3 linked regions of the Xenopus tropicalis genome follow. The protein of the gene in region 1 purifies or fractionates together with the protein of each later gene. This does not show direct contact. Links are inferred from orthologs where the notes say so. Each region holds a gene or a part of one and is shown on either strand. Other genes may lie near its edges.

Region 1 (4,426 bases):
TACCCTGCCTATGTGTGCCATACTCTGACTTCTCTATGCTGCCTCTGTGTACCATACTCTGCCTGCCCTACCCTGACTGTGTGTGCCATACTCTGCCTGCCCTACCCTGACTGTGTGTGCCATACCCTCCCTGACCTATGCTGCCTGTGTGTGCCATACTCTACCTGCCCTATGCTGGCTGTATGTGCCATACTCTGCCTACAGTACCTATGTCTGAGGTGTGAAGAAGTGAACAATGGGAGTGATTACAGCCTGAGCCTGAGGTGTGAACACTGCAGGGGGTGAACCATGCAGGTATTAAAAGGTGTGAAAAACACAGGGGATTAAATTTTTAAACAATACAGAGGGATTACAGCCTGAATCTGAGGTGAGAACCATGCAGGGGGCCAGTTAATCTCAGTACTGATACCATTTAATGCTTACTCAAAGGTAAACCATCAAAGCAGCCAGACAGATGGGGGCCACACAGAGGGGGGTCGCGGGCCGCCAGTTGGACAGCACTGCCATAGACCATGGATCCCCAACCTTTTATACCTGTGAGCCACATTCAAGTGGAAAAAGTGTTGGGGAGCAACACAAGCATGGAAATGGTCCCTGGGGGTGCCAATAAGAGCTATAATTGGCTACTTAATAGCCCCTATGTGGACTGGCAGCCTACAGAAGGCTCTGTTTGGCATTATACTGGGTTTTTATGCAACCAAAACTTGCCTCCTTACCAGAAACTCAAAAATAAGCAGCTGCTTTGAAGCCACTGGGAGCAACATCCAAGGGGTTGGGGAGCAACATGTTGCTAAAGAGCCACTGGTTGGGAACCGCTGGCATAGACAGTCACTACTTATTGGCCCGGTGGGGGTGCTACTTTGGCCTTTGCGTACCTGAAATGCCAGGGCCTGATGCTGGGGTACCATTAGAATACGGCGGCACACAGATATTATTGCCACACTTGCCTGACTGGTAAAAATTAGGCTTCATGTCAATGTTATAAATAGATATAAATAAAAATATTGGAAGGCTGGTATTTTTTTCCAGAAAAGGTGGCAACCCTTCAGGCAGATGAACCCTACCCTGGGGATTGCTCGCCTGTGGCCTGAAGAATGAAACAAGAATCAGTAGAAGCGCCCAACAACATACAAACTGCTTTCAGCTACTGACTGCCATCAAACCATGTGGTACCAATAAACTGTACTGTACTACAAGCAAAGCTTATCCCCTGGAGTGTATGCCTATTGAGCTGTGGTACTGGTGCCAAGCTGTGCCAGATATCGGGAAGCGATCCCAGTGCTACTAATCAGACAGTATGGGGCAATAGCCGCCACTACACAGTGGCCATGTGGGAGCCCCTGCCCCCATCCCCCCCCATTCCCACGTAGCCAGTCCCGCCCTCCCACATCCTGACGTCACCGGGCTGGAATGCGCTTCCTGCGGCGCTTCTTGCTCTGGCTGTGCGCGTCCGTGTGAGTGCGGGGGCGCGCTTGTGGTGCGTCAGCGCAGGCTGGGTGCTACTCGGGAGGGGACCGTTACTGAGAGCGGACACTTCATTCAGCGCGCAGACCTGCCTGGGCTCGGAGGCCGCAATCTGAGGCAGCGCTTAGTCTGTGCGATTCAGCCCGGCAGGGCGCCGCTCCTGGGATCCAAGGGCCCCACGCCAAAGGTGAGCCGCCGCTCTGTGTTACCTGCATTCTGGCCCCAGTGTCCGCTCACTTGGTACAGTCTGTGCTTAGGGCATTGCTGCTCCGTATCTGCCTCCCTGTGGGGAATCCATATGGCTTAGAGAAGCCGGGACGTGTAGCAGCTACTTTGCACGCCGGGAGTTGTATTGTTTGTCAGTGATAGGTACAGGGGGGCAGACTTGGGGCTCTACAGCTGCTGGGAACTACTGCATTCACTCGCAGGGGATTGTGGGACTTGTAGTACATGCCACCTGGAGTTTTTCCATTGTGGAGTTTGTGCTTCAGTAGGTAGAGGGTTAATAGAGACTGGGGGAGGGGGTGACCTTGCTTAGGGGCAGCTTCCTATAAACTTTCCTTGTTGTGGGATCCCACCCTTCCAGGGCTGCAGCGCTCTCCCTCCTTAGTTACTGCGCTAATTACATGATCATGTGTGTAGGGGGCTCTGTGTAAGTGAATTGGGTGTCTGGCTGGGACTGTATGTACCCCCCCCCCCATAGAGACAGCAGGGAGTTTCCCTGCAGGAATGTGCACAGAGGGAGGCGGCAGAGGACATCCTGGGAGGGGTGAAGGGGGGGCAGTCTCCTTCTTTCTCTCTTTATTTTTAACAGTAGATCATTACCATAACCATAGATATTATTAACCAGGGCTCAGCCGGCCCACGCTGTCCCCTTTCCCTGTGTGTTCAGTAGGGCGCAGGGTAGTTGTGCCACGGTCACTATAAGTACAATATAGCACTGCTTCATTTGGCTGCTGGCTCCTAACAGAGTCTCCTAAGAGAAGGCGGCCCCCAGGCACGAATAATGGTTTGGCTGACACTGAGGGCACTTATATTGAGTTATGAGTGGGTGCTTGTATGTGGCTTTTTTTATTGAAGCCCGAGCAGCGTTTTAGCCCAGAGGCTTCCGAGGGTGGATGAGTCCCAAAACGTATTCTTGGCAGGGCCGGGTTCAAGGGTGGGTAACAGAGCCTAAATCTGTGCTGGGAACCTTATGAGATTAATGGTGAGGTAATCAGTATGACAAAGGAACTAAAATGTTCTGAAAGCTTGCTGTGATTATCTTAGTTAGCCAATAAAGGTATCGCCTTTATACCACTTTTATTTCTAAAGGGTTACCCTTATAAACATTTTGACTGGCTAACACAGTATATCACCTTTTCCTGCATGGTGAAGATTCAAATATAAATTCATAAAAGAGCTTTTATGAAACTCAGTGTCCCACTTTTCCTATGATTATCTGCCACCCCGGGCAGGCAGGGCCCTTTGTGCAGAGGATCAGGGTAGTCTGGATTATATAGAGGAGCAGCCACATTCTCTTTACAGATACTACACTTCAATTTAGCTGAAAGGACAACAATTACCATTTCCGCCCAGTAGGAGTGTAAAGCCACACTGGGGCTTATTGGCTTTGAGCAGCTGTGCACACAAGGTGCAAATCAGCACTCCCTGTGCCACCAGCACCTTATTTGCACCTTGATGTGACCTGCACATTGTTCATAGGTCCCAAGTGACTCCGTAGTTGTATCTAGGCACTGAGGGTCATTTATAAAATTTGCACAGTGCAGAATTATTCACACAGTGAACGTATTTACTCTACCTGTATTTATATTTATAAAGCTGGACAAGACTGGTGCGTTTAATGGGCAAATATAATTGCGAAATTTTTATTCACAGTGCAAATGCCCTTCAAGTTTTTTAAATATGGCATATTCGTAAATTGCGAATGTTTATGCGCGCAGTCTGTGTCCGCGCTATATTTATTCATAATAAATGGGCACAGAGGGCAAATCGCAGTCTCATTTGCGAATTTTTGTGCGCAATTCACATTTCACTGCGATTTGCATATATCTAGAAGGCATTTCCCTTGTGAGTAGAGGAGGCCATACCGGGCAGATTTTATCTGCCAGTGTGTGGGCACGAACAATGGGTCTGCCCGACCGAGATTTGGCCAATTTCAGGCCAGATGTTGACTGGGCAGGTTTGATTTTTCCGTCGTATCGGGAACCACATTGGCTCGTTGATGTGGCCCCTGTTTTAATTTGAATTCGCCTGATATTGCTCACCCATAGGTGAGTGTATTTGGAGAAGATACGTTTGATTGGTGACCTCGCCATAGAGTGGATCTTACCGTGTATGGCCAGCTTAAAAGTGGTAAAGTGACCCCCCCCTAGACCCTGTCTAAGCTCTAATATGAGCTGTGCTGGTTAACCCAAGATCAAACCTGTATACATCTAATCAAGATGGTGCTACTGAGAATATTCCCTAATATAGGTTTGTGTCAGAGAAAGAGATTTGTCACAGTGATTTATAAGTTAATTATCTGGAATTGTCTCCCCATCTGTGGGCAGCATGTTTTGTTAGGGTTATCAACTACAAATACATACGTTTTTTTCTTTTAGCATAGTGCTATTCTAAGGTAATTTGCAGTTGGTCTTGCATTGGTCTCTGTTTTTTATTTTCGTTCAGCAGATCTTCAGTGTTGAATTTTAGCATCTACCTGGTTGCCAGGGTCCAATTTAAACTAGAAACCAGGCAGTGGTTTGAAAGAGAGAGGGGATTATAGGAGGGCCTTAATAGAAAGATAAGTAATAAAACAATAACAAACTATTGCTCTGTGGGGCTACAGTTTAATTTTTACCTGCTGGGGTCAGCGACCCCCATTTGAAAGCTGGAAAGAGTCAGAAGTGGAAAGCAAATAATTCAAAAACTATAAAAATAAAAAAATCCAGTTGTAAGAATTCAGTTAATCTGAAGGTAA
Region 2 (3,652 bases), about 38 Mb from region 1:
TCCATGTTCTCTGCACACTGTGGTATGCATAGTGTGGTGTGTGCTTTATATAAAGCAGCCCAAAATATAGGACAAATCAGAAAAAACACAGAATGTTAATGGAGGTAAATTGGGGACCCTGCCTAAAATGACATAGGACTGCAGCACAGCTGTTCCATATTATGAAAGGAGCTAATATCCTTGGATATTTAGGAGCTTTAGCTTTTGGAATGAGGCTGTTGTTCACAGTTTATTTTAGTCTATGTACCTGAAAAATCTTTTCTCTGTATTGTGCGTTATATATTATATTCCAATTTTTTTACCTCAGCTGAGTTATTTTTATAAATATCTCCACAGAAATAGAACTGGCACTACTCAATATTGTAAAAACAGTACTTACATCAACACTGTCAGTAATATTTATCTAAGAAGATACTTTTGCCAGTTCATCACAATGTATTTTCTTTCGGTTGCGTGTGTGCTTGGAGAAATGTAACTGTCACACAAATTAATTACTACATTCTAACAATACATTTGGCTTACTTGTCCTGTTGTTACAATTGTTTTGTACCCTTGTTGCGTCTGAAATATTAATATATTAATCTAGTGAAGTACATGTACTTTGGCAGACAAAGCAATTTTATATTCAATTCTTAACCTGATGTACTCTATCACTGTCGATAGTTGTTTGCAAATACATGCAAGAGTAATTGTGTATGTAATGCAGATTTGTCTACAGTAATATTGATTACCCAATATTACAACTCTGAATGTTTTACTAAACCCATTTGTAAGCTGTGTAATTTCTTAGATATTATTATAATTCCTAAGGGAACGGTTGATTGAGCTATAGTGTACTGCTGCAGTATATAAACAATAACCCAATCGATATTTCTTTTAAAGAAAATAAAAAGTATTCTAATATATTAGCCACATTTACACTGCCTTTGTCTTCATATAAGATCTTGGTAATGTGCAGGCAGTTGGTGTATGTATAGGGATCTAAAAGCAGTCTGGAATAGAAACACTAAACCTTTCCACATTTATAATAAACATATTTTTTCCTTTTAGGTGTTTATCTTCAGAACTGATAAGAGGTCTGTATCGCTTGTTAAGATTTTTCAAGCTTCTGGAAAAAAGGTTAGCCTTCCCATGTTTTACTTTTCTACAATTGTTGTGCCTGCAAAACAGTTTGCGCATGCTATTTCAGGGTTCAGAAGGCCTGTTCCAGATCTGTTTAAGCGACAGCACAAACCTTTACTAAAATTGAGTACAATGAAGGGAGTTCAAGAGGATTTTGTCTATCACTGCACTCACTCAACCCCCACTTTCTCCCCCTATCAAAAGGATAATTTGTTCACAGGGAGATGATAAGCTGTGCATAATGGTAATGCCACATGGGGGCTGATTTTGGCCTGCGGAAAAGCACATGCCAAGAATCAGCCCCAACACTGACATTAGCTTTCTTCTTTGCCTGCACCCGGAACCATTGTGTTGGCCCTGGTGCAGGCACATGCAGAGGTAAACTCTCACATTTTATATGTATATTGTTTAAACATGAATCAAAGATTCAAATTGGCCTTGTAAAAGCTTTATGCATTCACTGCAGACAATGGTTTTATTTGCCAGTCTTAGATAATAGATAAACATTCACTACAAACTATGTCTAATAATGTTGTAGAAAAACAAACAGCTGATTGTTAAGTTCAAGGTAATGAGTAAGTCTGGAACAAAGTCTAACCAGAATGCTTACAAAATAGTAAAAGTTAATGCTGATGTAAGATGCTAAATTTATTTATAATAAAAAAATAAAAAGGGTAACCTGTCTTGTGAATTCATCTATTAATACCTACGCATTTTGTGGGGGGTTTACATGTCCTTGCACCTTTAAAGCACCTTGCAATGGACAAATCTACTGCAGTTGCCATAGTCATTGCACAAAAAAAATTTAATTCATTATTTATTGTTACGTCCAAAGCCACTCCCTGCAATTCAGCATTGTTGTGCTTGGTGCCACTTCCCGCACCCCACCTCTTCCAGTGAATTGAACACAGTGTGCCTATTGATGCAGGGGAACCCTAATGCTATCCCCACTGTAGCCTGCATCAACTGACACAGCAAACTCGTGGGAAACAGGCCCAGGTGGCATTTCGATACCAGAAATCATAACATCTGAATACTGAAGCTTTTTAGCACAGTTGCATCCAATTTCTGTTGAGGTAAATGTGCAGTGTGTTTGAAAACATTGCCTGCAATAGCATCATGCACATCACCACCCCATGGCAGAGGTTAAGCTGGAATTCTTCTTCTTGGGATCCTTATCCAATAAATGTTACAGGATCATTATTTACAGGAATGTTACAGGATCCATTTGTGTTTTGTGCACAAATTAACATTGCTTTTTAGTGAATGTTTATAAATGTGGACTATATGCTTCTCTTTAAAATGTTAACATTAAGCCCACTCCTAAGTATAATATTGATGCTCACAGAAAGTGTCAAAGTTAAAATTAATATATATTTGCATACATTGCATTTGTTACCATAAAATGAATCTTTATTCTGGAGAAAAATACTGAATGCTTTGTTGTGACTCGGCTTGGTTGCAGGTGGGCTCTTACTTTGGCTCCTCCTTATGTGCAGTTGATCTGAACTCTGATGGCCTCTCAGACCTATTAGTTGGTGCTCCCATGTTCTCAGAGGTGAGGGATGAGGGACAAGTCACAGTGTATATCAACAGAGGAAATGTAAGTATTTGTGTGAACATTAAAAAATATTGATTTTATTCTTTATATTTTAATATACATATATACAGTATTTTGTGGGGTGTGTTCATAGTTCTTGAGATGTGTGCAATTATAGCCAGATTGTTTGGATGTGTACATTTCCCATGGTGTACAGGCATATAAAGAAAAACAATTAAACAGTGTGCTGCATTCTTTATGGGTTTGCATACTTGTTCTCTTGAACTAATAGACAATACAGTCTTCATATTGTAGAGATTTTTACTTCAGGACAGTGGTTCCCAAACTTAATGGCTCAGCCTTAAGGCCATTTGGGATACGAATCAATGAAAATTGTCATTAGCTGTCATAGATACACCTGAAAGCCAAGCTTGAAGGTCAATTGAGGTGGGATTTGTGCTGTACTTCATATTCTTTTAACTAAGACTGAATGACTGATATTTCCTATATATATGTAGCCATCTCTTTTGGTAAGGGGGGCCCTGACCAAAGGTTGTACCATTAAGAGGGCTGTGAACAAAGACTGGACATTCAATTTGAGCTGAAACCAAATCTCTAGAATACACTAAACTAAAATACAGGGTTAACCACGCTGAGGTAAGCAAAGCCACAAGCAGCTGAAACAGGAGCCAAAACCAGAAACAAAACCAAGGCCTCAATTTGGGAGGCAGAAACTTTTAAAAAGATCAAATTCTTAGATATATTCACATAGGTATCTGATGCCAAATGGACACTTTTGTATTGTTCTGATCGTTTGTGGGACTTGACAAAAAAATGTATTATATTAGATTGGCTGAAGTTTGTTAGTATAATACTCCTGCTGCTTATTGATGACTGACCCCAAACATTTCATTGTAGGGATTTTTCCTTCAGCAAATCTGTGCTCCCACAATTTAACCTTTTTTTTATTTGATTACTCTTGCGCGGTCT
Region 3 (3,652 bases), on another chromosome or scaffold:
TACTTACCTCACTATTTATATTGGCAATTGGACCTTTTCCACAGCCTGCAGTGATGTTCTTACAGCAGGAATCAGGCACAGTGTTTGTACCAGTGAAGGGAGCATATTGTCTCCAATCAGTTGAGTTGATGGCACCACAGCACTGAAACTGCAATAGCAAACAGACATGTTATGTATCGACATGAAAAGACTGTGCCGATCCCCAACTCTTTATACAAGCAGAATACTTACTTCTTTCTGCAAGAGGTCAATGCTATCCGCTATATCCTTGGTGTCATTATAATGGACCATACCATTTTTAAAGGAGTCCTCAAATGCAGTGCGCAGCTGAAGTACAAACAAGAACAGAGAAAGTTATGGCAGAAAAAACTATTGGTTCACACATCTTTAATGCCCACTTTGAGAAGACTGTACAGAGAAAGGTAGGTCTTGAGGAGTACTAGATTCCCTGTTTAATGTGTTTTGCACTGGCACACAAGTGCACGCCATAAAGGCATAGAGTGAACATGGCTTGCACTGTAAGTCTAATACAGTAATAAATAGGTCTGGAATGTTCTATTAGCCCACTGGCAAGTAAAACATACAGCTGATCAATAAAAATTCTTAAACTTCTTTCACACGCCAAGAAAGTTAGCATAAACAGACATATAGGGCCCAAAGCAAAATTAAGCCAGTTATAGAGTGGATTCATTCAGCGGCAGGAGAAGGAAGAAAGGAACCAGAATTACCTTGTCCTTGTAAACATAGGCAGCAATAGCAGCAGCAATCTCAACCAGGAAGATCAGCACCAGCACAACGGCAAACTGCAATGATAAGAAAAAGCAATAAGTAATTTTTTCCCCCCACATACACTGAAGCAGAATTTCTATTCCTTCCTGCATGTATATTTTGGAGTCATCAATTATCTTCACTTCCTATCTAGATATGTATCAAGCATGGACTTGTTTTGTCAAAAGCAGGTATTTTACACTTTTATGTGTATGCTTCAGAAGTACTAGCACAGTTCTAGAAGCTGCAGTGTCAGTCATTTAAGCTGAAATTGGGCTATAGGGCACAAATATACATAGCAGATAACCTGTGTAGAATATAATGGATTTGGGGTTAGTGGCATCCAGGAGGTGTGCCTACTACTAGAAGAGAAACACAGGGCTTAAAACACCACTGCCGGCCTATTTCTGCTGGTAAATACTACTCATTGAGAAGTGGAGTTTAACCATCTGTACTCAAGAATGCCTTAGAGGTCCATCTGTCACAGCTCCTTGTTCTTTGTATGTGGCCCTTTCCATTCAGTAACATAAGCAGTGGCCTCAAGTGACAATTATGCCTCTTTACAGAACCATAGGCTACTGCCACGTGGGTGATTCTTGGCACAGAAGCCAAGAAGCTGTCTCAATGCCCCTAAACGCTTCTCTATGTGCCTGTTCTAGGAGCCATTGCATCAGCCCTGTTGCAGACAAACACCCATGTGTAGCAGTAGCCACAGAGTGAAAACCCCTCATATAAAATAGGGCATTTGTTGCCAGGAAATTGTAATAAAGCACCTATAAATTGAGAAAAAAGTTAAAACCATTTCTTACCGTTGTCACCATGCAGTAGTTCTCTTTTAGTGCTCCACAGCAGCCAAAGAAGGCAATTAAAAAGATGACAACACCCACTACGATGATGACTATGGGAGCTCCAGAGGAGGTGGCATTCTTCATGATAAGAGTGTGGTTAAGCTGGATTTGCACGTATATCCCGATCGCAATGAGAGCAATGCCACACACCTAAAAAACAAACCAATCGGAAGATGAGTATCTGCACAACACGTAAATGTACAGGCCGTGCTAATGTGGCCCTCTTGGATGCGTATAACTGCAACTGAGCAGAACAATTTAATAACGGCCATTTGTAATAACGGCACAAAAGGGCAGAGGTTGTTGTGCCGTTTCGTTCCTACTGGGCTCATTATGCAGGGAAAACAAAGCAGCTTTTGTAGCACTTTCCTCTCAAACTGACAGAGCAAGAAAAACAAGTAATGCCAGTGCTGCCAAACCCTTCATGCAAACTCTTCAATTAGCCATTTTGTATTTAACCGTATAAATAGTATTCTAAAGGTTTGAATGAGAGGAGCATGGGATGCTGGATCGCCTTTTAGTGCTGCTTTCACTATAGAAAACTGAACACACACAATACAATAGGTGCAGCAATGTCTCTGACATCATTTATTTAAGTCATAAAGACTTACCTTTAATCAGAGTGTAGGTGTGGGGATGTGGGTGTGAGGGTGTTGCCATACTGAAAAATTACTCCACCCCCTAGGGAGCCAGACTCCCTAATGCTGACTAACTGAGCATTCACTACTAGGTAAAGAAAGTGGTCAGAACCCCCCTAGACGGGGAAGTGACCATACCAGTGAATCTCTTGTGCAAGAACAGAAAGTGACTGAAAACAATGTATGTTCTCTAGCAAACTGACCTAATGCAACTTGCACCATTGCTGTGGGGAGTTTCTTGCGCAACATTTGCTTCCTCATTTTTAGAGGAGAATCACATGAAAGAGAAACAGTGAGCTGGTGTCATGATGTTATTCTCACTGAGACCATAAAGGCCCAGGCTCACAGGGAGATTAGTAGCCTGCAACAAATCTGCACTACCTCGGGCAACTAATCCCCCTGAAATGCTTTCCCACCGCTGATCATGTAAATCTCCAGTGGGAAAACATACGCATTACCTGAAGTTTCCTTGTGGGGACTTTGTTAGTCACTGGTGGTAAGTCACCGATGTTTTCCAATAACCAGTAGAAAAGGATTTGGGAGAGACTAGTCGCCCACGGTAGTGCAGATTTATTGCCATGGCCAAGCCTTGAGAGGGGTAATAATAGGTGCTTTGGTGGCACTCATGGATTACTGATGAGTGTCTGGGCTGCATTTCTGGTAAGATAAACTGCCTCAGGGCAGGAAAGTCATCTTCCTTTTTAAAAGATCTCCAGACTTCTGAAATAATGCTGCAAGCCAGCTGATTAAAGCTGAGAATTGACTCAAAAGACCCAAAGAACAGAAATAAAGAAATAATCACCGCTTTCAACTACAATTACACATAACTTTAAAAGGAGGACTACACCCCCCACAGCTATAAAAGCCCCCTTAACTGACCTGCCTTGACCACCCCCCTCACCTCTCCCTTATCGCATACTCTAAAGCTGGCCATACACGTGGCGATCTCACGATGTTTCGTACGACCGTCGGTCGCACGAAACATCGTCAGATCCGCCACACACCATTCAGGGCTGAATCGGCAGGTAAGGAGGTAGAAACAATAGGATTTCTACCTCCTTCTGCCGATTCAGCTCTGAAGGGAGAATTTTGGTCAGGCGCCTTCTATGGCGCCCGATCAAAATTTTCTAACTTGCCCGATCGGCGAGCCGACCGATTTCAGCAGCTTCCTGCGATATCGGTCGGCTCGCTGACATGCCATACACGCACCGATTATCGTACGAAACGAGGTTTCGTACGATAATATCGGTGCGTGTATGGCCACCTTAACTTAGGAAATCAGCTTCAAGTGCACATGCTCAAGCAGGGTCCATGTCGGCGGTGACACACAAAGCTTCTACAATTCAACAGAAGATGTCTCCCAGGTACGCAGCTGCACTGCTCTGGATTTTTAGGTTG

What was found.
Region 2: the proteins of itgb1 (region 1) and itga9 purify together in Homo sapiens (affinity purification with mass spectrometry; 3 studies listed by BioGRID and IntAct, counting the BioPlex papers as one, with this or other methods). This does not show direct contact. The link is inferred for Xenopus tropicalis from reciprocal best matches to the Homo sapiens genes ITGB1 and ITGA9.
Region 3: the proteins of itgb1 (region 1) and cd63 purify together in Homo sapiens (affinity purification with western blotting; 3 studies listed by BioGRID and IntAct, with this or other methods). This does not show direct contact. The link is inferred for Xenopus tropicalis from reciprocal best matches to the Homo sapiens genes ITGB1 and CD63.

The regions. Positions count from the first base shown.
Region 1 is NC_030682.2:22,870,499-22,874,924, forward strand, and holds the start of itgb1 (integrin beta-1 precursor), read left to right. Parts: upstream 1-1,549; 5' UTR 1,550-1,651; intron 1,652-4,426.
Region 2 is NC_030682.2:61,158,664-61,162,315, reverse strand, and holds part of itga9 (integrin alpha-9), read left to right. Parts: intron 1-1,050; coding exon 1,051-1,119; intron 1,120-2,587; coding exon 2,588-2,725; intron 2,726-3,652. UniProt on the Homo sapiens protein: Integrin alpha-9/beta-1 (ITGA9:ITGB1) is a receptor for VCAM1, cytotactin and osteopontin. It recognizes the sequence A-E-I-D-G-I-E-L in cytotactin. ITGA9:ITGB1 may play a crucial role in SVEP1/polydom-mediated myoblast cell adhesion.
Region 3 is NC_030678.2:137,134,047-137,137,698, forward strand, and holds part of cd63 (CD63 antigen), read right to left. Parts: intron 1,767-3,652; coding exon 1,578-1,766; intron 804-1,577; coding exon 729-803; intron 328-728; coding exon 232-327; intron 149-231; coding exon 8-148; intron 1-7. UniProt on the Homo sapiens protein: Functions as a cell surface receptor for TIMP1 and plays a role in the activation of cellular signaling cascades. Plays a role in the activation of ITGB1 and integrin signaling, leading to the activation of AKT, FAK/PTK2 and MAP kinases.